Linked DNA regions of Pelodiscus sinensis. The protein of the gene in region 1 interacts with the protein of each later gene in a pairwise test. Links are inferred from orthologs where the notes say so. Each region holds a gene or a part of one and is shown in the gene's direction. Other genes may lie near its edges.

The links.
Region 2: the proteins of CBY2 (region 1) and CNNM3 interact in binary tests that used the Homo sapiens proteins (3 or more experiments, as listed by UniProt). The two-hybrid records come from large-scale screens. The link is inferred for Pelodiscus sinensis from reciprocal best matches to the Homo sapiens genes CBY2 and CNNM3.
Region 3: the proteins of CBY2 (region 1) and PLEKHN1 interact in binary tests that used the Homo sapiens proteins (3 or more experiments, as listed by UniProt). The two-hybrid records come from large-scale screens. The link is inferred for Pelodiscus sinensis from reciprocal best matches to the Homo sapiens genes CBY2 and PLEKHN1.
Region 4: the proteins of CBY2 (region 1) and LMO1 interact in binary tests that used the Homo sapiens proteins (3 or more experiments, as listed by UniProt). The two-hybrid records come from large-scale screens. The link is inferred for Pelodiscus sinensis from reciprocal best matches to the Homo sapiens genes CBY2 and LMO1.

Annotation. Positions count from the first base shown.
Region 1 is NC_134711.1:287,239,815-287,246,658, forward strand, and holds the start of CBY2 (protein chibby homolog 2), read left to right. Parts: upstream 1-3,834; 5' UTR 3,835-4,002; intron 4,003-6,244; exon of another isoform or gene 6,245-6,247; 5' UTR 6,248-6,387; coding exon 6,388-6,844.
Region 2 is NC_134738.1:5,725,322-5,732,404, reverse strand, and holds the start of CNNM3 (metal transporter CNNM3), read left to right. Parts: upstream 1-4,079; 5' UTR 4,080-4,094; coding exon 4,095-5,400; intron 5,401-7,083. UniProt on the Homo sapiens protein: Probable metal transporter.
Region 3 is NC_134733.1:14,660,617-14,668,310, forward strand, and holds the start of PLEKHN1 (pleckstrin homology domain-containing family N member 1), read left to right. Parts: upstream 1-4,688; 5' UTR 4,689-4,973; coding exon 4,974-5,053; intron 5,054-6,974; coding exon 6,975-7,074; intron 7,075-7,694. UniProt on the Homo sapiens protein: Controls the stability of the leptin mRNA harboring an AU-rich element (ARE) in its 3' UTR, in cooperation with the RNA stabilizer ELAVL1.
Region 4 is NC_134714.1:108,227,208-108,234,944, forward strand, and holds the start of LMO1 (rhombotin-1), read left to right. Parts: upstream 1-4,716; 5' UTR 4,717-4,754; coding exon of another isoform or gene 4,755-4,776; intron 4,777-7,737. UniProt on the Homo sapiens protein: May be involved in gene regulation within neural lineage cells potentially by direct DNA binding or by binding to other transcription factors.

The DNA of each region.
Region 1 (6,844 bases):
AGTAATAATGGAGGATTTCAATGTCCCCTTATTGACTGGGTACAGGTCACCTCAGGACAGGATGTAGAGACAGTTTCTTGACATCTTAAATGACTGTTTGTTAGAGTAGCTAGTCCTGGAACCCACAAGAGGAAAGACAACTCTTGATTTATTCCTAAGTGGATCATAGGATCTAGTCCAAGAGGTGAATATAGCTAGACTGCTTGGTAAAAATAGCGACCATAATTTACTTACATTGAACATCCTTGTGGTGAGGAAAACACTCCAGCAACCCGACACTGTACATTTTAATGTCAGAAAGGGGGCTAGATAAAAATGAGGAAGTTAGTAGAATAGAAATTAAAAGGTACGGTGCCAAAAGTGAAATCTCAGCAAGAAGCATGGAAACTTTTAAAAGATATCATAATAGAAACCCAACTTAAATATATACCCAAATTAAAAATTGTAGTATGATAACCAAAAAAATACTACCAGGGCTAAATTAAAGAAAGTAAAAGAAACAGTGAGAGATAAAAATGCATTCTTTAAAAAATGGAAGTTAAATCTTAGTGAGAGAAATAGAAAGGAACATAAACTCAGGCAAATGAAGTGTAGGAATATAAATAAATAGGAAGGCCAAAAAAGAATTTGAAGAACAGCTAGTCAAAGACTCAAAAAGTAATACAAAAAAAATTGTTAAGTACATCAGAAGCAGGAAGCCTGCTAAACAACCAGTGGAACCACTGGACAATCGAGATGATAACAGAGCACTCAAGCATGATAAAAATCATTACAGAGAAACTACATGAATTATTTGCATTGGTTTTCATAACTGAGGGTGTGAGAGAGATTTCCAAACCTGAGCCATTCCTTTTAGGTGGCAAATCTGAGGAACTGTTCCTTTAGAAAGGATTTTGGAACAAACTGATAAAATAACAGTAATAAGTCATCAGAACCAGATGATATTCACTCAAGAGTTCTAGAGGAACTCAAATATGAAATTGCAGAATTACTCACTGTGGTTTGTAACCTATCCTTTAAATCAGCTTCTGTGCCAAATGACAGGAGGATCACTACAGAGGTGATCCCAGCAATTAGAGTCCGATAAGTCTGACTTCAATACTGGGCAAACCAGTTGAAACTATAGTACAGAACAAAATTATCAGCTATATAGATGCACTTAATTTATACTTGGTAGGGAAAATTCAATATGTTTTTTGTAAAGGAAAATCATGCCTCACCAAGCTATTAGAATTCTTTCAGGGGCTCAACAAGCATGTGGATAAAGGGGATCCAGTGGATATAGTGTTCTTAGATTTTCAGAAAGCCTTTGACGAGGTCCCTCACCAAAGGCTCTTAAGCAGAATAGCTGCCATGGGACAAAAGGGAAGGTCCTTTCACAACAGCCTTCCAAGAAGAGCAATAGGGACAAAAAACCTTGTTTCAAAACTGAGCTTGATAAGTAGGGCTGTGAAGTGATTTAAAAAAATAGCTACAATTTTTTCAAGGCTAAATTCCAATAACATTGATGTACTTCAAGTCTGCAGTACCTTTTACACACTACACAAGCTTTCACCTCCAGTTCATATGCTACACATAACCCAGTGACAGCAAATGAAGCTTGCCAGCCATGGAAGAATATGCTTACAGAGTTTCAGAATGGGTACAAGCCCATGGATCAAAGTACAACAGCTTAACCAGTGCTATTGAAAAATGGGTAACTATGAACTACAGAGCACTTACCATGGAAAATGACTGAGGTCTAAGAGGTACTATCCAAATTGCATCTGCTAATTCGACATACCCTTGCCTTCTCCAGGAAACATTGAACCATGAATGTATGATCTATGTCACAATGAGAAGAGTACAAAGTTGGAGCTTCTGAAAAATGTACTAGCTGTTGCTTTGACTGGTGATCACTGGGCATCCTTGAGCAATCACAGCTCTCTTGGAATCCTAGCACACCTGGTTGATACTACCTGGACAGTGCAGCCATTTGCTTTAACAGTAACGCATTCTGAAGAGAAACATTATGCTGAAACATTCATAGGGCATTTTTTGGATGTTGTGAAAGGATGGGATATTCAAGAAAAGGTAACAACAATTAGTACTAACAGCGTGATCAAAACTGTAATTCATCTTGATTAATTTTTTAAATTGTGATTAATTTGTTTTGTGTTAATTGCTGACAGCCCTAATTTGTACACTGCTATCCCAATTCACTTGTGTCCTTTTCAGAGCAGAAGGAATTCCTTGATATCCCCTGTAACTCCTTCTGATCAATCAGTGTGCCAGGAACATAGACAAAATAGGCTACAAATACCTTGCTGTACCTCCCCCCAATTAACCAATTCTGGAGCTGATAAAAAGCCCTTTGAAGTGTGTTTTAGTTTTTCTATTGACTTAAGATCAGGTATGCTCAAGTCTTAAATTCTAGAGTAGCATATAGAAAGGTGATTCATTCACACCAGGTTGTATAGTTAGGAATAAAGGCAGGAAAATATGCAGAAAAATTAAGAAAAGAAAAACATAAAACACAACAAAACTTTAACCCTAGCAGTAATTATGAATTCAAAAGAATCAGGTTTTTCTCTTTTGATCAGTACTTGTTACTGGATTGTTCTTATCTTCACTAACTTTGGCTCTAGTATGAGCCCTAACGCTTTTCTGCTTTAGTATATTGTACACCCTTGATTCTCCAGGCATTGAGAAGGATCACCCAATTCAACGGTCATCTTTCCTAAAGCTCCCTACAACCAGTAAGTAAACTTCAACCACCCCCTTCTGTCAAAGGACAAACTCTCTTCAAGAAACTGATTTTCCTGCTCTTCACTGTAGAATACTTGAATAAGAAAGTAAACAGAATGCTCTTCAGGAAGTTGCCATAGTGATTAGTGATGCTTTAGTGTTGTCTGAGATTAAATAGAAATGGGAAGAAATTACAGTGAGAATTTGTATGCCAAAGTTTATCATCCTTCCATAATTCAAAAATTGCTGAACTGTTTACCTACAATTTTTCTAAAACATGAACAACCACATTAGGGCTAAGGCCAAGTTTTCACTTGGAAAGAAATTAACTGTAGTGTTTGCGACTTAGGAACACTCAAATTAGAAAACACTTAATTCTACTTTTAAAGATGCAGCAAATAAGAAATAATAAGAGAGAATTAAAAATGGAAAGATGTGGAAGTGCAAATAACTGCTTTGGATAATGGCATTGGGTGTAATGCCCAGATACTCTCAGCAGTCTATTTTCTTGTTAACAAGAATTGACAATGTCCTAGTTCTTTTAATTTGGAGTCAAAGAAAAACACCAACCTCAAAGTTAATTCTGGAAAATTACTCCAGGCCTCGTACTGGATAAAAGGGAGGTGTTTTGTTACCTTTAGTGTCAATTCAGTAGTGGTCTTAGTCTGAATATCGGGGATGGAGCAAATCATGTTCTATAAAAAGAAAGTACAGTACTGGGAAAATAATTCATTTTAACTGCCCCTAAGATCATACATGAGGAGAGAAGGCAAAAGAAGAACGTGGTTTGGGAAGGAGCTTGAGAATTCTCTACTTGATTTGTTATAAGGAAAAAGAAGTAACTTCTATTCACATGTGACTTAGGGATCTGAAAAAACCCCAGATAGTCTTCAGAGATTATAGTGGGAACAGTGGAGGCTAAGTCATGAGAATATAATAATAGGAAACCTTTGATGAGAAACACTTGAGAGCCTACTGAAGTTTAACAGGCCTGGGGAGCAGATGCCTTTCATTTACATCAATTACACTGTTACTCTGGATGTACTTAGATACTGTCTATGTCATAAAGGGGCTTTCTTGTTACATGCCTCAGTTTGAAAAGCATGGTCCTGTCTCTGGCCATGCTGAAAATCAGTTTTGAGCAGGGAGAGATCGAGGCAGCTTCTGGCATTTGGCCTCAGCATTGGATACACTACAGTTATAAACCAGCTGAGAGTTTGGAGAAGATAAAGACAAAAGAAACAGGACATCACTAGAATTATATTTTAAACAGAGGTGAGCAGATGTACCCACTATTACTGTAGAATACTAGTCAACTTGATTTTTAGCTAGCTTTGCTCATGTAATTGTAGCCCCAAACTGCATAAGGACTGTTTAATACAGATCTGAAAGAAAATGATAACTGAGATTAAGAGAAATTAAAAGGCTTCTGCAAGGGAGAAAAGATGGGTATGGTTCACCACTTGACATTATTCAGGTTTTACATTGATGTAATACCATGGAAATCAGTGTAAAACTGGAGTAACCCAGTAATAATTCAATCCCATGTTAAATGAGATTTGAAAAGAGATGGAGAATCAGTGAGACAGAGAGACACAGAGATAATAGCAGTAAATTTGACACGGACATTTAGTATATACAGAAGATTCATAGATTCTTAGATCCCAAAGCCAGAATGGACAACTGTAATAATCTAAGATGCCCGCCAGTATAACTCAGGCCATGGAATTTTCCCTAGATAATTCCTGGAATAGATCTTTTAGAAAAATATCCAATCTTGATTTAAAAAGCATCAGCAATGGGGAATCCACTCTGATCTTTGGTAATGTGTTTATGCTACGCTATCGAAAATTAGTCAGAATTCAACCCCCTATCTTTCCTCTGATATTGAGATCATCTTATTAAATGATCCATTAGACAAAAAGCCAAGACTCAACTCTTAGCTGATACACACAAGGGGTCAAATAAGAAAGCTGAGGCCTATACAAAATTAAGAAAAAGAAATAATGTATAGAAATGAAACATGCATTAGTCACAGATTTAGAATCAAGCATTTATTAGAAAAAAGATTAAACAACCTTAGAAGTCAAAGAAATTCCTGTAATTTATGTGGTAACTGTTGATAGTCTTAGTGAAGGAGAAACCTATGGGGGGAAAAGGAGATAAAAGAGATTATGTGAAAGATGCTAAATTATTGGAATCTTTTCATTCCCAGATATCATCACAAGCACTTGACTATATTGCTTCAGTTAACAGTAATGTAAAGTCTAGTAGAATTATGTTAGAATTAGCTGAGGAAAAGGTTTTAAAGCCTACAATAATATCTGGCCCTAAAAAGGGTTTAACTTACCCTAGACATAAATAAAAATTATGAAAGGTTGTGCTGAGAATTTGCTTGCAATAGCCAGACATTACTAATCCCACAGCTCCGGCTTGACCACAGTGATGCTCTGGGCTCATTCTCAAAAGACAAGCTTGTTCTGCTGCTGACAGAGGCAATTATTCTGATCTCAGTTCCCACTGGAAGCAGCAATACAGACCACTGAAAAGTTAAAAATGAGCATGTTTTCTTTTTCTTGAGTGCAAAGAGAACTCAGTGTGCTACGTGTGATTTTTAGAACTTTCTGGAAAAGGCCAACATTTTTAAACATTTTGGATGTTTAAAATTAGGTTCCTAAATCCACATGCTGGCACCTAAATATAGGTGATCCATGTTTTCAGAGGTGCTGAGCAGCCCAAGCACTCACTGTGTGCAGTGGCATTTGTGAGAGCAGAACAATTCTGAAAACGAGGCCATTTATATTAAGATGCCTATGTAGGGTTTTACCCATTTCTAGACTCCCACTTTTGAAAATCTTGACAACGTTCTTTGTGAAATCTGTATCATTCAGAGCTCTACTGTGAAATGAAAGGAAAAGTAATGTGGTGAAGAAACCTTAAGCTGGGCAGAATGAGTTCTTGCTACAGATATAAAATCACACTTTATTGACATAAACCTACACTGTGACTTACAAACTTATAATGAGAGATGTTCCCTGCTCTAAAGGGCTCATAAGATAAGACAGAGTTCATCAAGAGGAGGTACACAGGATCTGGAGAGTAGAAGAAGATGAGGTTTACTAGTGAATTTTGAAGGTGCCATGAGAGGGACTGCTTGGATTGGCAGTAGAAGAGACAACCTTTTATAAGATGCAAAGGAGAGACTGAGAGAAGGAGAGGAAAGGAGAAAGACTAAGCAGACTGGGAGGAATGCACCAACAGAGGAGCTTCAGGAGAAAATGAGGATAGAGGTGTTGGATGAATCTGTATTGTACATAAAAAAGCTAGTAGATATAGGTTGTTTTAGTTTAGCTAATGTCTGTAAAATCATTTTCATCCAACATATCCATTCAATCGAAGGCTTATCACAGAATAGACTTTGGAAAATAGATTTATTTGCTGGTTTCTTGTCCAATTGAGTTTAGTTCTGTCTTTGAACTTCATAACTAATCCTATTTATTTGTGTTCCCTATTCCAGCAGTTCTGAGTGAGTGTCTCTGCAGACCCCTCACTAGCTACTCATCACCAAGAACAGCAATTGCCTGCATAACTTCTGAAGAGAGTCTTTTCACACAGACTTCTTCACTTTGCTAAGTCATCCCCACATTTGCTTTTGATCCAATGAATCACTTTATGCATCAGGCAGAGCCTGACATGGATTATATTGCCCCTCGTGTCAAGCTAAGTGACGAGACATTTGTCTTTGTAGATGGCAAATGGGTGAGTGAGACCTACAATCAGCCACCCTTTGCTTACCAACAGAAACATTTCAGCAAGAAGATGCAGAAAGACTGGACTCTCTGGGAGGAGAACAAAGCACTCTGGGAGGAGAACAAGGCCCTTCGGATTGAAAACAAAGCCCTCCGGGAGGAGAACAAAGCTCTCCAGTGCCTACGGACACAGAACAAAGCCATCCAGGTTATTTATGATGACACCCTCCAGCAGGTTCTCCAGAAGGAGCACAATCCTTTCCCAGTCTTCCAAGAAAGGAACATAGGCTTCCAAGAGAACAAGGCCCTTCAGGTTGTTCAGGAAAAGAATATGGCTTTACAGATACTCCACAAGGAGAACAAAGCTG
Region 2 (7,083 bases), on another chromosome or scaffold:
CACTGATATTTGCTTCTTCATTTTCCATTCGCCCAAGCTGGTAGGGCCTTGGTTGAGTGACAGGCAGCCGCCTCCAGAGCTAACCTGCTCCCTGCCCTGCTCCTCAGCACCCAACCTGGCTCCAGGCGCTGCTAAGAATGCAAAGGGACAGGGCAGAGTTTGGGTTCTAAACCTACTTTACAACTAAAACAAACCCTCATCTTCCTGCTCTGACTGTGGGGGCTGCAGCATGGGGCTGCTTTCACCAGGGCCTGCTCCGTTGCTGCCTGGGTGACTGGCCAGGGCTGGGGGCTGTGTGTGCAGTGCCCTCGAGGCTTCCTGTGTAAGACCCCAACAGGAAAAGCAGGTTCCGCACGAGGCCCTCGAGCCAGATGGAGTCAGAGAAAAGGCCCGTTTAGCTCTGTATTTTCTTTTCCGACAGTGGCTGGTGCCAGATGCGTCAGAGGGAATGTACAGAACAGGGAAATTGTAAGTGATCCACCCTGTTCTCCATTCCCAGCTTCTGGCAGTCAGAGGTTAGGGACACTCAGAGCTTGGAGTTGCATCCCAGGCAATCTTGGCTAATAGCCATGATTTTCCTTTTTGAACTCCGTTAAAGGTTTGGCCTTCACACTATCCCCTGGCAAGGAGTTCCACAGGTTGCCTGTGCCTTGTTTGAAGTACTTCCTTATTTTGTTCTAAGCCTGCTGCCTATTCATATCGTTGGGTGAATAATAATTCCTTATTCACTTTGTCCACACCAGTCATGATTTTATTGATTTCTATCACGTCCCCCTTAGTCCTCTCTTTGCTGAGCTGAACAGTTCCAGTCTTTTTAATCTTCCCCTGGCATGGAAGCTGTCCCAGACCCCCTAATCTTTGTTTGCCACCCTTCTTTATACTGTTCAAATTCTAATCAATCTTTCTCAGATGAGGCAATGGGAACGGCACACTTTATTCAAGGTTGGACTCACAATGGATGCCTGTGTCCTGGGGCTGCTCATCGATTTTCTACCCTGCCTGGCTTCTGCTTTCTAGGCATGAATGTCAACATTCCCTTTCTCCCACTCCCCTCGAAATAGCTGCCTTGACTCCCCCCAACCCAGGCTGACTTCTTACCCAATTCCGCCTTCTCCCTTGTAAATGGGCTTGAGGCTTTCTTGTGAGCTGGTAACATTCCCATGATCATTCTTGCTTTTCTGAGTAAATCCTTCCTCCCAGCTGATTTGGCTCCTCATCCGTTCCAGCCTTTTAAAGCACCAACTGCGTAGATCACGGGGCTGGGCTTCCTGCTGTCTGCAGGCTAACCATGGCCAAGGGGAAAAGGAGGTGAGATCCTGCCCTTCTGAGCCCCTGGGCCCTTCCAGGTTGCTCAGCTCTGCCTTGGGCAGGGAGAAGTTCCTCCAGTCCCGGACTCAGGCATGGGCAGGTCTCATGGCCGCTGGATACTGGAGGATGGGGGACAGGGCTTGGTTTGCCTGCACAGCCAGGTCTGTACCTCCCCCCACAGGCCCAGCGGAGGCCCCTGGATGGTTCACACCGTCCGGCCAGGAGCACGTTGGCCTTTTTTCGCCGCCTCCGAGGGCTCCAATTCAACCGGCAGCTTTTTCCCTCCTGAGAGGTCTGCGAGAGCTCACTGAGCTCCAGTGTTCTGCCAGGGCCTCCTCCGGCCCTCGACGCTCTTCTCAGGGAGCCCCTGCTACACAACCTGTCTTTGCAGGCACAGGCAGCAGAGTCCCCCTCGGTGTGGCAGAGACTGGTCCTGGCAGGAACCACCAGGGCTCCTGGACGTGACCGAGGGACTGGGTAGATCCCAAGTGCTCAGTTGCTGCATGGGGCTCTCCGCCCTTCAGAGCCCCCACACATGCCTCAGAAGGTGCATGTCCCTCTCTCGTTTTTCTACAGCGGGCCCCATGGGAGGGGACGTCCTGCTCCCCCTCACTGCAAGCTCTCCAGCCTTTTTCTTGGGCCCCTGTTCCGCGAGTCCTCTCCCCCCCCCCACACACACCTGGCTTCCTCCCCTTTGCAATCCCAGCCGGCTGTGAGACCTGCACCCACGGACCAAGTGTGCACACGCTCCATTTCCTGACCCTCACGTCCTGGCCCAGCCCCAAGTGGCGGGATTGCTACCCCCTGTGGAGGGTGAGGACCCCCAATGGGCCAGTCTCTAGTCCTCCCTGATTCCACGGTTGGCCAGGGATGTCAGTGGGCAGCTTCTTCACAGAGCCACGAGCACGGGCGTGGACCGGGCACGGTTCAGCCCCATCCCTGAGGCCGGTCCCCTTAGAGGCGTGAGGTAGAAGCTGGCGCCCGCCTACCTCTGGTGCATCAGGTTGCAGCCCCTAATCTGTCTCCTCCTGCTGAGGCTCTGGCTGCATCTTTCCCTGCCCCTCATTACTTCTGCGCCCTCTACGTGTGGCCCCACAAAGCCACAGGGCCTCCTTGCCAAGGCCACCAGCAGCAGCAGCAGGAGGAGGATGCTGCGCAAGGAGGTGCTCAGGGACGGTGGGTCCTGTTTCCACTCCTCCCTAATTTCATGTATCCGGGCGGAGTTCCCCAGGGCAGTGTCCACTGGCTGCCCAGATGACTTCGAGGATCAGTGGGCGTGGCTGGGGTTCCCCCTTCTGGATCCCTCGCTTTGAACCTCTACCCAGCTGCCCTGAACCTGCTTGTCATTAATTGGTCCCTATATTTATTTGGAACATGGGTCCAATGGCCCTGCCCACAGTGCTGGGGGCGGGGCCTATAGAAGAGGGCAGGTGCCCAGGATTTTCCAATAAGGCCCCTGGATACAGGCAGGTGCCACCTGTCCAGGTTTTTTCAGGCTTGTCCCTTTTTGAAGGGGCTAGTTAGATGCACGGTGCAGCCCTTGGGGGGAGGCTCTGTACCCTCTGACCTGCTGTCCCATGGCTTTGGGGGGAGCCTTGCTGTGCGCTGCCCTGTACGTGGGGGCTCAGTACCCACTGCCCCACAGGTGTGGGGGGACTCTGTACCTACTGCCAGGGGGAGGCCCGGGGGGGCTGCCCCATTTGTGGGGGGCTTGGTAGCAGGGATGTTAACATATCTGTGTTTAAACAATAAGCCTGGGGTTACTGGTTAATCCTAACAACTCCACACCCCACCCCTGCTGCCTCCCTGTCAGTGGCAGCAGCACGGGGCCAGGCCGGAGCTGATGCTCACCGGGAGCCAACTTAAAACCTAACGAGTGTGACACACACACCCCCCCCCCCGGTGTAAATGTAACTGCTGGAAATTCTACAGAAAACCACAATCCTTAGCATCCTTGTGGCACCTGCTGCCCATGGGGGTGGGAGGGGCTCGCTGGGCGCTGCCCATGGGTGTGGGGGGCCCTCTAAGTGCTGCCCATGGGTGTGGGGGGGGGCTCGCTGGGCGCTGTCCAGGGGTGTTGGGGGGGGCTCTAAGTGCTGCCCATGGGGGTGGGGGGGGGCTCGCTGGGCGCTGCCCATGGGTGTGGGGGGCCCTCTAAGTGCTGCCCATGGGTGTGGGGGGGGGCTCGCTGGGCGCTGTCCAGGGGTGTGGGGGGGGCTCTAAGTGCTGCCCATGGGTGTGTGTGTGGGGGGCTTGCTGGGCGCTGTTCATGGGGGGGGTTCGCTGGGCGCTGCCCAGAGGTGTGGGGGGGGCTCTAAGTGCTGCCCATGGGTGTGTGGGGGGGGGCTCGCTGGGCGCTGTCCAGGGGTGTGGGGGGGGGCTCTAAGTGCTGCCCATGGGGGTGTGTGGGGGGGGCTTGCTGGGCGCTGTTCATGGGGGGGTTCGCTGGGCGCTGTCCAGGGGTGTGGGGGGGCTCGCTGGGCGCTGTCCAGGGGTGTGGGGGGGCTCGCTGGGCGCTGTCCAGGGGTGTGGGGGGGGCTCTATGTGCTGTCCATGGGGGTGGGGGGGCTCGGTGCTGGCTGCGTTCACTGGCCCTTTAAATCCAGCCCGCTCGCCCCGCCCCCTGCTTGTTTATGTCCCGGCGCAGCCCAACCTGCGCTTCCCTCGCCTGGGCCCGCCCCCTCCGCCCATTGGCCGGAGCCCACCGGCCCCGCTCCCCGATTGGCCGGCCCCGCGCGGCAGGCGAGGCTGTGCGCGCGCGGGGGGGGGGGCGTCAGCTGACTGGCATGGCGCGCGGCTGGGGGCTGCGCTGGGCCGTGGCCGCGCTGTGCCTGGGCTGCGCCGCGGGGCGCGACGGGCCCCCCCCCTCCTCCGCCCCCCCCGCGCCGCCCCCTCCCCACGTGCTGGGCTTCCGGCTGGAGGAGGGGGCCTGGGCGGCGGGGGGGCTGGTCCGCGCGCGCCCCGGGGCCCGCTTCCGCCTGCGGCTCTACGGCACCGGGCTGCGCAACCGCAGCGGGCCCTGGCTGGCCTTCGCGCGCGCCGGCGAGCCCTGCCCGGCGCGCGCCCTGCACGTGCAGCCCGACGAGCGCGCGCCCGGCGCGCCCGCGGCGCTGCTGGTGCGCGTGGCCGTGTCGCCCGCCGGCCCGCCCGGCACCTACCAGCTGTGCAGCCGCGCGGGGCCGGGCCGCCCGTGGGCCCCCGCCGCGCCCGGCGACGCGGTGCTGGTGGGCGACGAGGGGCCGGCGCCCTGGCTGCTGGCCCTGCTGCTGGCCCTGCTGCTGGCGCTGGCCGGGGGGCTGCGGGCCCTGCAGCTCAGCACCCTGTGGCTGGAGCCCGCCGAGCTGGCCGTGCTGCGGGAGTGCGGCTCGCAGGCGGAGCGCCGGGCCGGGGCCGCGCTGCAGCGGGTGCGCCACCGGGGCGCCCTGGCCCTCTGCGCCCTGCTGCTGCTGAGCACCCTGGCCAACGCCGCGCTGGCCGTGCTCATCGGCTGGGCCCTGCGGGCCCTGGCGCCCGCCATCCTGGCCGCGGCCGCCTTGGTCTTCCTGCTGGCCGAGGTGCTGCCCTTTGCCCTCAGCGCACGGTGGGGGCTCTGGCTGGCGTCCCGCGGGCTCTGGCTGACCCAGCTCTGCATGGTGCTCACCTTCCCCATCTCGCTGCCGCTCAGCAAGCTGCTGGAGCTGGCCCTGCGGCACGACGCCAGCACCTGCCTGCTGCGGGAGAAGGTGCTGGACATGGTGCGCAGCAGCGACCCGTACAGCGAGTTCGTGCGCGAGGAGTTCAGCAAGGGCGCCCTGCGCAACAAAACGGTGGAGGACGTGCTGACGCCGCTGGACAAGTGCTTCATGCTGAGCGCCGGCGCCGTGCTGGACTTCCACAGCATGTCCGTCGTCATGCAGAGCGGCTACACCCGCATCCCCGTCTACGAGGGGGAGCGCACCAACCTGGTGGACATGCTCTACGTCAAGGACCTGGCGCTGGTGGACCCTGACGACCGCGTGCCCCTCAGCACCATCATCAAGTTCTACAACCATCCCCTGCACTTTGTCTTCAATGACACCAAGCTGGACGCCGTCCTGGAGGAGTTCAAGCGAGGTAACCGCCCCAGTGCCCCGGGGCCTCTCTGCTCCAGCTCCATGCAAGGGGGTGCTGTCCTGCGGGGGCACCAGGGGGCTCTCTCCTTGCTGGGCTGGGAACTGTTAACCGGTTACCCAGGAAGCATCACCCTTACCAGGAGATACCCAGGAGCGGCCCATGCAGTGCTCAGGTGGCTGGGTACACAGGAGTTAACTCCTTCCACACTGCTGGGCAGCCAACTTCCCATGTTCCCTGGGGGACGCCCAGGGCTGGCCTCTCTCCATGCACCAGCCGGGTGGGTCAGAGCCGGGACCGACTGCTGCCCCCTTCTTTGACTGGGGTCTGCCCCTGCCAGCGATGGCCGGGCAGGTTTGGCCCTGGCTGGCTCCTTGCTGCCGCTCGTGGCAGACGTGCCCTCCCCAAAGCAGGGCAGAGGCTGGGATTCAGTCGGATTTCCCTACCCAGCTATTGTGCCATCTAGTGCCATGCCCGGAGCCCCGCCCTCAGCGCAGTGAGCCCTGTCTCCCACCTGGCCTGGCCAGGCCAGAGCAGCGGGAGGTGAGGGAGTGCTGCTCTGGAAAGGGAGGAATCTGGTGCCTGGACCTGTGGTTAGCGTCTGTGGGATGCCTGCAGCTCCCGTGCTCTGGCTTTGGCCCTTGGGAACATCTTCCCGGTTCGGTGTCTCTTGGCTTCGGGGGGCACAGCTGGGCAGTGGAGTGAGCACGCTCAGCCCTTGGCGGAAGGACTGTGAAAGCGTTAACACAGAGAGCTTTGCTCCCAAGTGGTTCTTGGGCTTCTGAGTTGGCAGAAGCTAACCAAACCACACAGCCCAATTGCCAGCCCTGCTCCGCGGTCCCCCCATCGCCTGCAGGGGCTGGTGGACACCAATCCGCAGCAAGCCCATTCGCGCTGCCCTCCCCTGATTTCAGTCCAGTGCCTCCCTCCCTCCCCATGGGTCCTGGGGAAGGTCACCTTCAAAGCCAGGCTCTTCCCTCCAGAGGCAGGGAGAGCGCTTGGAGGGCCTGCCCCTGCTGCCATGGAAACGTTTGGCAGGGCCAGCTCATGGCCACAGGGATCTGGCGCCTGCCCTGAGCTCCGTGTTCCTCAGGGCCCCTGGAACCGGCTGCTTCCTTCCTGGGCCTGGAGCGGAGCCCAAAGCCCCTGCCGCTCCGTGTGACCGTGGGCCAAGCCAGCCCTGGGCCGAGGGCGAACCAGAGGGTGGGCAGGGCGGGGCCTGCAGGAGGGTAGGTGGCCCCAGTTCAAGCCAGGCTCTGCCGCTGCCCTGCAGTGACCTTTGGTTGGCAAGGCTGGGGGGCCGGCGGTTGGGACTCCTGGGTTCCCTGGGTGGCTCTGGGGGGCCGGCGGTTGGGACTCCCGGGTTCCGTGGGTGGCTCTGGGGGGCTGGCGGTTGGGACTCCTGGGTTCCGTGGGTGGCTCTGGGGGGGCTGGGGGGCTGGCGGTTGGGACTCCTGGGTTCCGTGGGTGGCTCTGGGGGGGCTGGGGGGCTGGCGGTTGGGACTCCCGAGTTCCGTGGGTGGCTCTGGGGGAGATGGGGGGCCGGCGGTTGGGACTCCTGGGTTCCGTGGGTGGCTCTGGGGGGGCTGGGGGGCTGGCGGTTGGGACTCCCGAGTTCCGTGGGTGGCTCTGGGGGAGATGGGGGGCCGGCGGTTGGGACTCCTGGGTTCCCTGGGTGGCTCTGGG
Region 3 (7,694 bases), on another chromosome or scaffold:
GAGCTTTTTCAGAAAAAGGCAAGTGCCCTGGTGGTCACTCCATCCATAGTAATCACAGCTTAAATGCGAGATAGCATCCATTCAGTGTGGACGCTATCTTTTGAAAAAGCACATCACTTTTCGATGCACTTTTGCTGTGTAGACGCTCTCTTTCGGAAGAAGTTTTTTCAGAAGATCGCTTCTGGAAAAGCTTCTTCAGAAAGAAGCCTGCAGTCTAGACATAGCCTGAGTCTTTCCATACTCAGCAAGTTTGCCAATTATAGTTAGGGTTGCCAGGTGTCTGGTAAAAAAAATTCAGAAAATACGGACACCTAAAATGTCCGGTATTTTCTGTTTTTTCCCCCTGCCAGGAGGCAAAAATACCAGACACCTTGCAACCCTACGACACACTCAGCACCTGGGCCCAGCCCCCGTTTCCCCCACCAGGCCCCCTCCCCCCGCTTACCTGGTTCTGCAGAGGCTTGTCTTGTGGCTATAACAGAAAAAACAAAATAGCCACAAGCAAAAAAAGTCTCTTCGTAAAGGGGCCATGCTGATTTTTTTTTTTTTTTCTTAACTGCTGTCAGGGTCTTTTTTTTTTTTTTTTTTTTTTTTTTGATCAACAACTTTGGTCTCCTTTTTTTTCCTCAACAGAATTTTTTTGGGGGGGGAGTGTTCGGTATTTTTGGTTAAACCATCTGGCAACCCTAATTATAGTGGCTCCTCTCTGACTTTTCAGCCACCTTTATATGTAGTGGACACTAGAACTGGACACAGCATTCCAGCAACTGTGGCAAACACAGGGAGATGCTCAATACTGCCCACTTTATACATCCACCTATCACGTCAGCTCTTTGGGTCACAGCATCTACCTGGGAGCTTGTGTTCAGCTAATTAACCACCATGGCTTCTAGTCCTTTTCAGAGTCATGGCATCCCAGGAGAGAGTCCCCATCCTGCACATACATCCTACATTCTTATATCCATATGTAAGGTTGTACTTTTAGGAGCAATTACAATGCATATTGTTTGCTTGCCCCCATTGTTTGCTTGCATCATGTGATCCAGATCGCTCTGTACCAGAGACCTGTCCCCTTACCACTCTCCCATACTCTGTGTCAGCCTCAAAAAAAATTATCCCTATGATACCCTACCAGATACACACTGGCTCAGCGAGGATTCCCCATTTACAATTACATTTTGAGATCAATCAGTTTGCCAGCTTTGAATCCATGTAATGAGGGCCACGTTAATTTTGTTTTTCTCGTTCTTAAATTAAAATACCATGCTGGGCCAAGTAGGGATCTTAGTGTATAACCGAGTAACCGTTCAGCTTATTGGTTGATGGTCTTGGTTACACTCAGCCACCTCCCCGGCAGCTGAGTGGGCAAGGGCTGACCTACGGGGGGGAGGCTTCGCTGTGGCAGGGGCTGGTGTCTCCACTCCCAGGGAGGTTTTGCTGCAGGCTCTGAGATTTTCACAATATACACCAAGGGTAGGCAAATACCAGACCACGGGCCAAATCTGGTCTGCCAGGGTTAGCCCCTGATGGGCCCACACGCTGCCATATTTACCTGTACCTCTGTGGGTGTGAGGCACAGCTCCAATGGAAGCTGTGATCGCTCGTAACTGTGGAGGTGCAGGTAAATACAGCAGCAACGGCCCACCAGGGGCTAATCCTGGTGAACCATCACAATTTTATTGCCCACCTCTGGGTTACACCATTATCCTGTTACATGATGTTTAACACAGCTACCCCTCTGATACTTGACTTGGTCCTAGGAATGTTAGTCTGAATCTGCAAAAGCGGCAAGGAGTCTATAAGGTGCCACAGAACTCCTTGCCGCTTTTCTAGGACCAAGTCCGATGCTTTACAGAAATCTATTACATTAACACTATGATCTTTGTCAACCAAACTAGTAATCTCCTCCAAAAAGTCCACGTTAGTCTGACAAGATCTGTTTTCCATAAACCCATGTTGATCAGCATTAAATATAGTACCCTCCTTTAAGTCTTCATTAATCAATTTTCATATCTGCTGTTCCATTATCTTGCCTGGAAGCAATGTCAGGCTAGCAGCCCTACAATTACACAAATTATCTCCTGTACCCTTTTTAAATATAAGCACATTAGCTTTCTCTTACTTCTCTGGAGCATGCCCAGCATTCTGAAACATACTGAAAAGCAACATTCATGGGCCAGAGAGCTTCTGGGCCAACTCTTTTAAAACTCTTGGATGCAAGTTACTAAGGCTGCTGATTCGAAAATATCAAAATTTGAAAGTTTTGACAGCTACTGTTTAACATTCTCTTTAGTTACTAATGAAATGGAAAAAAAGTCATCATCTTGGCTTTTTTCTAACCATAGAACAGAAATATTTATTTTCTGTACTGCTGTTGTCAAAGCTACCATTTTCATTCAGCAATAGACCAATACTCCTATTAGGACTCCTTTTGTTCTTAGTATACTTTCAAAACCTCCTTAGTATCTTTTTCTCTGCTAGCTAAAGATTCCTCCTTGTGTCTTTGCGTGCTTCCTAGCTTCTAATGTAGAGTCATCTTACCCTTTTCCCCATTTATTATATACTGAGAAGTTATTTTTGTTTGGTTTAGAGGGAAAGTGAAAGCAACTACAAAAAACAGTTTGTTTTCTTAAAGACAGTTCCTGCCCCAAAGAGCTTACAGTCTAAATTTTTTCCTGCCTGTGTCTTTTGGCCATCTAAGTAAATGTTTTTAAACAGTCCCCAATTATCACATGCTTTTCTCTCTTCAAATTCTTACTTCCTGCTGATTTGGCTCCTAAAGACTTTGAGCTTTGTGAAGTTGGCCCCTGTGAAGGGGGTGCACTCACCACCGTAACCCCCCTGCCATCTGTCCTCAGGAATTGGCTCCCTCAGCGGGTAGGGGAAGCAAAATGCAGGACAATGTAGCACTTTAAAGACTAACAGGATGGTTTATTAGATTATGAGCTTTCGTGGGCCAGACCCACTTCCTCAGATCAAATAGTGGAAGAAAGTAGTCACAACCATATATACCAAAGGATACAATTAAAAAAACTAAAAAAGGGTGCCTTCTCTGGGGTGGTGTCTCCCCTCTTTACTCCCGGCTGCGGCATCCTCTTTGCCACACTGCCCTCCAGCAGTGCCCAAGTCTGTCTCTGAGCCCCCCTTCCGGGGGTCGATGTTCCTTCATTGGGCCTTCTTTCAAGCCCTGCAGTCTGAGGATTTGCTGGCCAGAGCTCCCCTAGCCCTGCCTGGCCTCCCCCAGCCCTGCCCTAGCTCCAGGGAGCCTGAGCCACCTCCCTCCCCAGCCAGGTTCTCACTACTCCCCTTTCACAGCAGCAGCCCATCCTCTATTATAGCTCCCAGCTGGGCCCTAATGGACTAGTACAGCCTCAGCTGGGCTAAACTCCCTGGCCCTGGTTCAGGCCGGAGTCTGCCCTTAAAGGGCCAGTGCAGGGCAAGCGCCCTGTCACAGCCCCTTTTAAAGCACCGTGTGTATTTGTATAACTGGTTTGAAGTTTATGCTTGCGTGTACATAAATAACTAAGGTTCTCACACAGAATCATAAAATAATAGAACTGGAAGGGACGTTGAGAGGTCAAGTCCAGTCCCCTGCATTTACAGGTCCAAGCACCATCTAAACCAGGGATGGACAATAACGTGTGAAGGAGAGCCACTTCCCAAATTTCTGAGGGCTGCCCCAGAAGGGGCGAGGCCTCGGGAGGAAGAGGTGGGGCCAGGAGGCTTCCTGTGCAGCTTCACCCACAGACCCTAATTGGCCAGGGTGTGGGGGAGAGCACTGAAGTCTTTCCCCACCTCCCCCCTCCAGCACCTAGGGTACTCTAGACTACAGGCTTTTGTAGACAGAGGCTTTGTCGACAGATAAGGTCAACAAAGCTTCTGTCAACAAAGAGCGTCTAGACTACATCCAATTCTGTCGACAAAGTAAGCTGTTTTGTGGACATGAGAGTGTAGAAACAAAGCACAGTGTAGATGCAATAACGCCTTCTGTTGACAGAACTCTGTCGACAAAAGGCATTATTCCTCGTAGAATGAGGTTTACTGCTGTCGACAAAACTGCCGAGTTCTGTCGACGTTGTGTCTACAGAACTCGGCGGTAGTGTAGATGCAGGTATCATTCTGTCAACAAAAGTCCACCTTTGTCGATAAAACCCTGTAGTCTAGACACACCCCTAGAGAGAAAGCAGCTTGTGATTCCCTCTGATGACTGGGACCCCTGGTGGGGGGAGGAGACTTGACACGGAGGCTGTCTTGCCCACCCCTGATCTAAACCATCCCTGACAGGTGTTTGTCTAACCTGCTCTCAAATATCTCCAAGGATAGAGATTCCGCAGCCTTCCTAGGCAATTGATTCCAGAGCTGAACATGCAGCGAAGCTGCCACTAATTTGTGGTTCACTGTTTAATTTGTTTTTAGCTGCCCAAAGGAGGGCTAAAAGAGAAATCCCCCCTGTGGGAGCCAGCACTTTTGGCGCTAGGAACAGCAGTGGGACATGCTTCTACAAGAGCGCCATGGGTTTTGCAAACCAAGTCATTCCGCAAAATAAAGGCACACGAGCCCCAGGCATTGGCCGGACGCTGTGTGTCCGGGCGCCTTGGCTTGTGCAGGGGTCTGCCTGGGTGATCCGATTGCAGCCGCGAGACCCACGTGCGTCCTCCGAGGGAATCTCGCCGGGATTAAAACCCCCGTCCCCCAGCCCAGGAGCCAGGGGGGGCCACCCAGGCTTTGTGGGGTTCCTCGGCTGCGCAGGTCCCTCCCGGTGCGGCGTGGAGCTGCGGGGAGGGGGGGTAGCGAGGAGAGCCCGGTGGGAACAGCCCTGGGCCAAAAGGCTGTTTGCGCACAGATCACACCCACAAGAGTCACCGCGGACGGAAGTGGGGCTGGGAATGTCTGCATGACTCGCTCGCCCGGCTCCCAGCGCCTCACTCCCTCGCTCCCTCTCGCCCTGCCTGGCGCGCCCCGCTGCAGTCCCCATGGGGAACACGACCTGTGTCCCCCAGCCGGCGGGGCGCTTCCGATACTCCTTCAGCAGGAAGCCTTCCCTGAAGAAAGAGTAAGTACCGGCTCGGGGGGGTGTCTCTGGCCCTGGTTTAAAGCGCCCCTCGGTTCCCCAGCCCGTCTCCGGACAGTCGCGGGGGGCTACACTCGGGCGTAGCCAAATGTGCATTGAACGCGCACGATCTGGCGGGGGGTGGGAGAGCCCGGGGCGAGCTCGGGTTCCTGCCAGGCTCGGAGAAGAGGCGTGGGACGGCTCCGGCGGGCGGCGGCCCCGCGAGGAAGAACAGGGCCGGCGTCTTTCCTTTTCCTTGGGAAAAGTAGAGCTCGTCCCCACGTGGCTCGCCGGGGAACGTGCCGGTGGCTGCTGCTGCTTTGAGCTTGAGCAGGATCAGACAGACCCCAACCCCTCCCTTCCCCCCCGGGATGTCTAGTTGCATCATGTCTCCCAGCCTTGTCACCCTGAAGAGGGGGACGTGCCAGACACTCCAGGAAGTCTCGTCGGGACTTTGGTATTGGTATCAGTGGTACCTGGAAGGCGCACCGATACCAGGGTGATGGGCAGCAGCATAACCCCTGAGAGAAGCAGATCGTTGAGGTTTTCCACGGAGCCGCTAGGAAAGTCCCATGCAAGTATCAGAAGTCTTGCAGCTCTCTGCACCCACCCCTTTGCTAAGTCCCCTGATCCCAGCAACACCATATATTGCTTCCTGCTATGCCCACCCATGTGTGTGTGTGAAGTGGGACCTTCCCCAGGCTGCTGCCTTCCAGGCATGTTTGATCCGGACCATAGCGTGAGCCAGGCCTTTGTGGAGGGCAGTGGTTTTCTTTTAAGTGGTCTGAAGCTGGAGAAAGCATTGTGTTGTTGTATTATCTTGCACCCTGGAGTTCAAGAGAGCATTCCGAAACCCTCAGGGCTCTACAAACCAACAGCCAGGATGTCAGGAGTGTTTCTTGTCTTCTTGACATTGATTATATCAGCAGTAACATAAGGGGGGCAATAAAACGGGCCGGGGTTCCCCAGGGTTAGCCCCTGGTGGGCTGCTGCCACTATATTTACCTGTACCTCCATGGGTATGGGCAATCGCAGCTCCCATTGGCCAGAAACAGTGATCCATGGCCAGTGGGATCTGTGATTCCCCCCCCCCCACACACACACACTTGTGGCAGTGCAGGTAAATATGGTGGTGTGGGGGTCCGCTAGGGGCTAACCCTGGCAGACTGGATCCGGCCCGTGGGCCTGTATTTGCTCACCCCTACTCTAAAGGGAGGCCGTTGCAATGGAGTAAAACAGATGCAAGGGAAAGGAGAATCAGACCCAAGATCACTGGCCCCGAGAAGTGTGCAGCATGCCGGCCCAGATCCTGTGCAGTGCGCCTCCCATAGACCCCACTGAGCTCTAAGGTCACTTGGCTGCTTGCAGGATGAGCTCTTCAGTCCATTGCAAATGACCAGTGTTACAGTGTGGTGCAATGTGGTTTAAAGAGAGAGGAAGCCTTGAAAAAAGCAGCACCCGTGACCTGCCTGGGAAATTGCAGCTGGGGAGCTGCAGCAGTGCGCATTAACACGGGTGTGGGTGTGCGCCCCCAGGCACAGGGATGGAATTTTACTGGGATTCAGAGGACAGCATCAGGAGAGGCACAAGATGGAATAAAATGGAGTGGGTGAGTGCTGGTTTGACACTTCCAGCGCAGGCTCCATCTTTTGCCTGGGGGAGTTGGGAGGCGAGGCTGGAGATGCAGACAGGGCTTGTTGATCATTTTGGTGACGCAAAGGTAAGTAAATAAACCAAAGCCAAGCCAACAAGTGCCATGCAAAGCCATTAACATTCTTGCAGGCTGATTAGCAGCTGTTTATTGGGCTGGGATTATTAGAAGGCCTGTGACAAACTGCTTGCTTGGCTCCCCAGCTTCCTTATTTCTGAGTGGGGGGTTTGCAATGTCCCAGCTTTGATCTCAGCGTGTTTGTTTTCTTTGCAGACAAGACAGCAAGAAAAAGCTGGCCAGCCTCTTTGGTATTGAATCAGGGCATGAGAGAGACATAACGGCAGATAAAATACTGCAGTATATTCCTGGGAGGGTAAGTACAAACCCATCCAGCCATACCCTTGAATGAGGGGAAGTTATTCTTACCTGCAGCGGGGTTCACTTGAATAGGAGCTCCCATGTGTATGAGATGAGCAGGCATTTCTGCACGTGTCCAGGCGAGGGAGATCAGAGGCTGGGGATGGGGGATATTTGTAGGAAGACCAGGGATCAGAAGCAGAGAGCTATCTCCTTCCAGGCAGGCTAGCTCACCACTCCAGTTCTCTAATTCAGCATCCTGTGGGTGGGGATCACGAAGTCCTGTCATCAACTTGAAAATCTGGAATCTGCAGTGCTGGCAGGGAGGTAGGCAGAGCCTCACCTGCTCTTAGGTCGTTTGCTTCTAGGTCGAGTAAGGATGAGGGGAAACTAGGGAGAGCGTACAAAAGAGAGCGATTCATTCCCATGCTGGAATGAGATGGAGCTGCAAATGTATTAGCAATCAGCCACAGGAGGGGGAGAGGTAGGGGCAAGCCTGCCTAAGGCACATCCAAACTTTGCAGATGCATGGCTCATTCCCAGCATTCTCAATGGAAGAAGAGCTTATGTGACTAGCAGTAGTGTTGATTGGTATTATGGTCACATCTACAAGCCACAACCAAAATCAGGACTCTG
Region 4 (7,737 bases), on another chromosome or scaffold:
CATTGCCAGCTTTGTCCACATATTCACTCTGCTGATACCATTATTGGACCTAACCAAGTGAGTTATAAGATCAAGAACACATATTCCTGCGCATCCAGAAATATAATTTATGCTATCGTGCCAAAAGTGTCCGTCTGCTATGTACATTGGACAAATGTATCAGACACTTTGCCAAAGGATCAATGCCCACAAAACAGATATTAGACAGGATCACAAAGAAAAAACAGTTTCTTGCCATTTCAACCAGAAAGGACATTGTCTCAACGACTTAATTACCTGCATCCTGCTTCAAAAGCCTTTTAAGACTGCACTTGAAAGAGAATCCTCTGAACTGTTATTCATGCTAAAATTCGACACTTTACACCTGAGTCTGAACAAAGGATCTAGTTATCTTACCCATTACAAAGATAGCTTCCCCAAATTATCACCTCTAATATCAGTAGCTCACAGACATTTACCTCCCCCCCACCCCCTTCTGTTCTGAAATTTGATTTGTCCTTTTCATATGTGTTCATTTTTTAATTGTATCCTTTGGTATATATGGTCGTGACAATTTTCTTCCACTATTTGATCTGAGGAAGTGGGTCTGGCCCACGAAAGCTCATCATCTAATAAACCATCCTGTTAGTCTTTAAAGTGCTACATAGTCCTGTATTTTGTTTCACTCAACAATGCCACTTCAGGAATAATCAGCTAAATCTAACTCAAGTACAAGGAAGTCTCAGAGGGTAGCTGTGTTAGTCTGTAACTTTAAAAATGAGTAGTCCTGTTGCACCTTGGAGACTAACAAGTGTGTATGTGTGTGTGTGTGTATAAAATCATTTTGTGGGCAAAACCCACTTCTTCAGATGAGCTAGGAATCTGTTCTGTGCAGTTGAAACCTAGGAAATTACATTTAAAAATTGTTAAAACAACACCACATAATGTTGACAACTCAGGCACTCAAACATTAGCAAATGCCAAAATTAAGATGGCTAATGAAATCTAATTCTGCCACTTTGAGTATGCATTATGATATGATAGTTAATTGCATACTTGTATACTTTTTCCTCTACTGGGTCTCTGCCTCATTCAAGCACAGGAAAACTTGTGGAGGTCTTTCCATTGACTGGGATACAACACAAGTTCACTCCCCAGGAAATCTTCATCTGCTATACTCCATCATTTTTTAGGCTTTTCCTTTTCTGCTACTTGTGGCCAAAGCAAAAGAAGAAAGGCAACTGCAATCTATTCAACTGGGAATTGATTTGAGACACAGGAAATCTGGATTTCACTCTTGGCTTACAATTCAGCTGATGTGTGATCCCAGGCAAGTCACTCCAACTTTCTGTACTTCTCTTTTCCCTCATTCTCTTTGTCTGGTTTTTTTTTTCTATCTACACTGCAAGCACTTCAATGAAGGGACTGTCTGTTACATGTGGTTTTGTTTAGCCTGCACCACAATGGACCCTAGCCACTGTAGGTGCTATCATAATATGAACAATAGTGCATAAAGCCTTGAGTGGCATATTAATCATGTCTAGTCTTGTTCTGAGCATGCATGCAATGCAGACTAGTGCTACAGCATTGGGCTGGGAGTCAGGAGACGTGGTTCATATTTCCAGCTCTCCCACTGGCCTACAGTGTGACTTTGGGGAAGTCACTTTCACATCTCGGAACCTGTTTCTCTTCATACACTTTGTTCTATTTTGAATGAAAATTCTTTGAACAGGAACTCTAACTGTGCATTTATATAGTACCAGGTAAACTGGGGCTATGGCAACACTACTTAATAGTAGTAGTAGTATATTGTATTATTTATTTCATTTTATTTATTAGTATGGGAAAATTCTTAAGGAAGGCCATTCTCATGGTATTTCCTGTCTAGTGTTTTTAGACTCCAGACATTCGCGTAAGTACTCAAATGCTTCCTTTTCTGAATGGATTATCTGAATATATTTGTAAAAGGCACACAGGGCAATGCGCCACTATATTGTAGAAAGCATTTCTCTGAAGTGGAGACTTTTTACATAGTGGTTAATCCTAGGATCTTTATTAAGCCTGCATAAATGTAAAGATAGGGATCAGTGCGTATCATTTAAACTGTAAAATGTTTGCATGGAGAATTATTTCATGTTTTATGTTTTATAATAGCTTGGCTTTGGCTGAGAGACCTCACTTCAATTTGTCCGTTGCCTCTTCTTCTCTTTCTCATCCCCAGACACCACGATCTTCCTGAATTCAACTGTGAACATCACTTCTAGAGACGTGATACCAAAATCAATATTCATTTCACAGTTTAGACCCTTTACTCAGTTTCTGGCTGCTTCTCCCTTTGCATCTTCCATAGTGTCCTGCAGCTTAGCGTATCCAAACATACGCCTCTTTGGTAAGAGTATCCTTCAACAAAACTCTGGTACCTCCAAAAAGCTCAGAGTAAAATGAAAAAGTTGCATACTTAGGTCTTGATCCTACTACCATTGCAGTTAAAGTTTCAATTGATTACAGCAGAAGCACATTTGGGCCTTTAAAATGTAATATATATTAGCGGTTCATGAACATAGCTAAAGGTTTCTCCAAGTTTGAGATTTCTTGTGTTGTTTCCAAAAAGATTCATTAAGTTAGACAGATCAACTTCATGTGGGTACAATATATGCCATACACTGGAAATTAAATATCAGAAAATTAACAGAGTTTGTTGTGTTATAAAGCTGCAGGCTTTTTTTAAATCATTATACTCATAGAAAAAAGTACTGCACTAATGGAACACAATATTATATTGTAAGTTGTATTTGCAAGTAACTTTGGTTAAACTTGCTTAGCAATAAATGTAACAGGTTTTCTTCTTGGCTTTATTTGACACGTACAATGTGTGCTTTAAAGATAATGAGTAGCGTTGTCAAATGAACGACTCTAATCATGGCAGCCCCAACATGAGAAATGTGGTAATGTGGAAGTGGGAGGAAATCCCAGGAGACAAATCTTTTGGCATTTTAAAAAAATTTCCAGATATCACAAAAATTGTGTGTCTCACCAACAGAAACCGTCCTGATTAAAAAAAATTAAAATCAAGACAGTGGGGGGAAATGAAATAAAGCTTAGTATATGAGCAGAACTAATATTAGTTTCCTGATAGATTTAGATAGGCAAGGGGAATAATGAATCAGCTCATGTATTGCCTGGGGAAACAAAATCTTCAATACCCCTGTGCAGATTGAGGACACTAACAATAAGGGTCTTTGGTAAGTAAAAACCAATTTTGGGGGGAAATCAATAAATGCTTTTTAATGGAAGTTCACATGGAATTAAAATGTGGGTAACCTGCAAGTTCCCGTTTCAACTAATGGAAATGCTAATGAATGATGTTCCAGTTTCAACTAATGGAAATCAAGCCCATTATGGTAAACATAGGAAGCAAGTACATTAATAGTAGGCATTGACATTAATTCAGATTGTAAACAATTCAGAACTGTTACCAATACATGGTACATTATTTGCCATCTTATCTGCTGTTTTCATAGGACTACTTCTTTCACAGCTTTTTAAAATACAGAAAATTGACTGCTACACAGTTTTATCAGTTTTTTGCCATAGTAAACAAAATAGTTTGCAAATTCTGTTTTGCTCTCCCTTCCCCCATCAACTCTTTATCTTTTTGTGTGTGTGTGTGTAGCTGAAAACACTTTTCAAGCTAGTGATGCCACCTACATTCATTGCTATGCAGTTCTGTACTTTACTTTTAAAAAGTTTAGCCAGGGGGAGATGTGGGGAATAATCTGTGAGAAGTAGAAAGAAAATTGATCTTATTTATACAGTAACACGTGTGTTAAAGCAATGCCTCTTTTCCTTTGCTATAGACTCCTGCATTTTCTCTCACACGTATATACACACACACACACACACTTTAACTGTGCTTTTGTGTTTTGTCAGAATTAATGAGAAAAGTTCCCTTGCCCTAGGGGTAATTAGTGTCCTTGGAGTTAAATAAGCTAATACTTAGACACCTCTGGCACAGGCAATTATGTTTGTGTATTGAATAATTGATTCAAAGAGGGGGGGAAGAGGCTGCTAATCAGATCTGAGCATAATGAATTGATTTAATTAACAGGGGAATCTGAGGGTCCCTGGGAAATGTGCGCATTTATTCAGCAGCAAGAGAGAGTGCAAAGCACATAAATTGAGAGAGGCAGGCAGCAAGTGCTTTTGCGTTCAGTGATAGGTTCGCATTTTTCCTCCCCCTACCTCCCTTCCTTTGAATATAATTTTAGCTTTAGAGTGAAATAAAGAGAAAAGCACTTCGGAAGCCTGGGAAGCTCGGCAGTAGCAACAGCAGAAAGGAGGAGGGGGGGGGGTGCTTGTGAGCTATCATATGCAATTCCATTCAAACCAATTTTTTGGCTGTGCACCTTGGGAAGGCGCTGGAGAACCGGCCCTGGATTTGGTCTCCTTTATCTTTCCAGAATTCTTGCGCTCCTCTCCGCACGGGCCTGTGAGTCGTGGCGGGAGGGCAGGGGCTGAGCGCTTGCCTTGGCACTAGCGGAGCGCCCCAGCCGAGCCCGGCGCAAGCGAGGCTAGAAGTCGTGCAGCCGCCGCTCGCCGGCTGGGGTGGGGAGCAGACCCAGGGAGGACGGCCCGGGTGCGCGTGCCGCCGGGCAGCGCTTTGCAAGCCCTCTCGGGCGCCCCGTCCCTTCCCCTCTCTGGCGCACAGGAGCGGCGGCTGGAGGGTGAGCGGACGCCAGCGGCGGAGGCAGCTGTTTCCCGCGAGCCCCAGAACCATGGTGCTGGACAAGGAGGACGGTAGGTGGGACGCCGGAGGGTCGGGCCCGCCCCGGCTCCTTTGGCGCGCGGCCGGAGAGGCCGCGCGCGCGGCCGGCGGAGACGGGGGCATTGCTGCAAGTGCCTGTCGCGGATGCCGTGCGCAGCGGAGCACGCTGGGGTGCGCGCGCAGGGCGGTCCGGGCTCGCCTGCCTGCCTGCGCTGCTAAACTCCATCGTGCGGTGCAGGGCGTTCGCTGCCCCTGGCACGCGGAGCGCGGTCTCTTCAGCCAGCGCTGTGCTCGCCTCCCTGGAGCTTGCTGGTCTGGGTTCGCTTCTCTGCCCCTCTAACTCCATCAGCCTCAGTGTGGTCTCTTCTCCCCGCGCGGCGACTGTTGTCCCCTCCTATTGTCGTGTTTACCCTCTCGCCTATCCCACCCCTCCCCAGCTCCCTCCTCGGCTCTAAACCCGCTATTAATGCCTAAGAGCTCACAGCTTTGCTAAACTGCCTCACAAAGGGCGCCTCGGCTTCTTGTGGGAAAGGATTTACTTTTTAAAAGAGGCTGGGAAGAAGGGGGATGTGTGGATGTGGCGATGAGAGAGAGCTGACTGCAGGCAACTTTGGCTCAACCATGTGCTTATTGTCAGGACTTGCTAGACATTCATGTGGCCCCACTTGGGAGCGGGGAAGCAGGCCAGAGTTAAAGACTAAGTTAGCTAATTGAAAGGGAAATTAATTCTGACGTGTAAAGTATTAAGAAGGGCTGAAGAAAAAAGGAAACTGGTAACTCACCACAATAGCCTCCTGCATCCTAAAGAAGTGAGAAATAAGATGAGAAATACATCCAGTGAGAAATAAGATGCTGCTGGAAGTTTTTGTAATGTGGGGCTGGGGTGAAAGGAGAGGATAACTCCCACCTCTGCCAGCCTGCACTTCTTAGCTGTCAGAGTTGGCTGTCAAAGGTTATTTGCTGTGCACGGCTGGGGTGGTGGTTCTGAGTGAAACAATCCATACAGGCATCCTGTAACAACACTGCAAAACTTTTGCCAGGGTTATCCTACTGAGGCCTTTTCATTTCTACTCTCACCCCCCAGATATTTCAAATCTATCTACAAAACACCAACGAGTAGTGAAAGTGTGGTCACCTACTGCTGTGCATGGTGATGGCCTTTCCCAGTTTTCCCAATACGTGCTCATCATACTGACTTTTTAAAACTCTTTTAAGACCCTTCTAGTCTTGTCATTTTCTTCATAATTGAAAAGACTGTGTCACAGCCAGCACCATTGCCTGTCAGAAACTAATATGTATATACCTGGACTTCACTGATTCTGGCGGTATTTTATGGTCATTTTTGTCTACAACTGTGTTTTTGAATAGTGGCCTTTGCTTTGGGGATTGGCATGTGGGTGGCTGCTGGGTCAAAGGTCATTTTATATGCTTTTCATTGGCATAGACAATACTTGGGGAAAGAAGTCCATGCTGCTCAGAAAATGGTCCATTCCTCCAAGCCCATATTAGGTAACACAACTAATTCTTAATTCTTCTCCTTTATCTGTTGCTATCACTTTCCAGCCCTCTCATCTCTAACCAAGCTATGCCAGTCATATATGTGTATGGGAATAGGAGCATTACAGAGGTTGCTGTCTTTTGCGGAGACTGATGGGTGATTATGTTGTTGGTCATCATGATCAAAGTCCTATCACCACTTCAGAACGTCATGCCGTCTTGCTGCATATAACTGTGTCACTTGCCACAAAGTCAGGTGGCATTGGCTTGTCACCCGTCATGCCAACTTTAGTTAATTGCAAACTGAAAAGCCTTACAGTTGGTAGTGTTGTAGTGAATGCTATGTTTGTATAAATATCAAACTTCTCTTCCTGAGGAATGGGGGGGGGGGGTTAATTTGGAAAGGCAAATATCAGAAGCACCCTTTCCCACTCAATTTTGGAGTAACTGCCTTTGCCAGGTAAGAGCCAGCGTCACACAAGCTTTAATGGAGTGAGTTGAGGCATGAGGAAAAATCATATCCCTGCTTGTGTGCCTACTTGTTGTGGGAGGGGGTCACATCTGTAACAGCTAGAAGGTTAAATGCACACTCCAGCTTGTGGGGAGGGAGCTGAATGCTCTGTTGTTGCATCTGTGGACTTAGAAGCTTTTATACTATTCCACAGTTTTGTCAGAGCCCTCTGAAATAAACTGATCCAGTGATGGTAATGGGCTGTAATGTTCCAGCAGTCAAAAGTAAACCTGTGAATGAGGGGAGAGAACTTGCACTACATTTTAAATAAATGATACAAAATGTTTAGTAACAAAAAAAAAAAAACCCCTCTCTCACATCTGCATCCTGATACATGGGGCTAAATAATAACATTAGAGTTAAGCAAGGTTAATTCTTTTCCAGTCTGGCTCATGTGATAGGGTCTGTATTTCCCTCTGATTTCATTTTTGTGGGTAAGCCACAATGGTTGATCCATGAAACTTAAATGGTTGCAGTGCAAATTTTGTTTGACTTGAGGGGGAAAAGGTCAGCTTTTTACTTTCAGCATGAAAGTCCTCCAATAATAATAATAAACTAGGCAACATCTTAATCTCTCTTAACTTTCTGCCAAAGGGTGCCTGCCAACCCATATCTGTTTAAATCTGATTGACGGGTTAACAGCGGGATGCTGGCTCTGCTGTAGAAGTAAGGGAAGCAGGTGAGCTATAAGGAAAGACTGAGATCTAAAGAGGGTTTGCTAATGGGAGTATTTGGATTCTTTCAAGTATTGCAGATGGACTCGTTAAATGTAAGGAGCTCAGGGCTGGAATGATGGTGGTGTAAGGAAGTGAAACTAGAACCATTGATTATCCAGACAGTTCTCAACAGCCCTCATTCCAGGAGCTCTCGTGAATGGTGATATAAAAGGAACTAATGGGGATGAGGGTGAAGGGAAGGAGGAAATTAGAATGAAAGACACTTAAGAAGAAGAATAGTAAGAAATTCCGGATGTGTAGATCAGAGT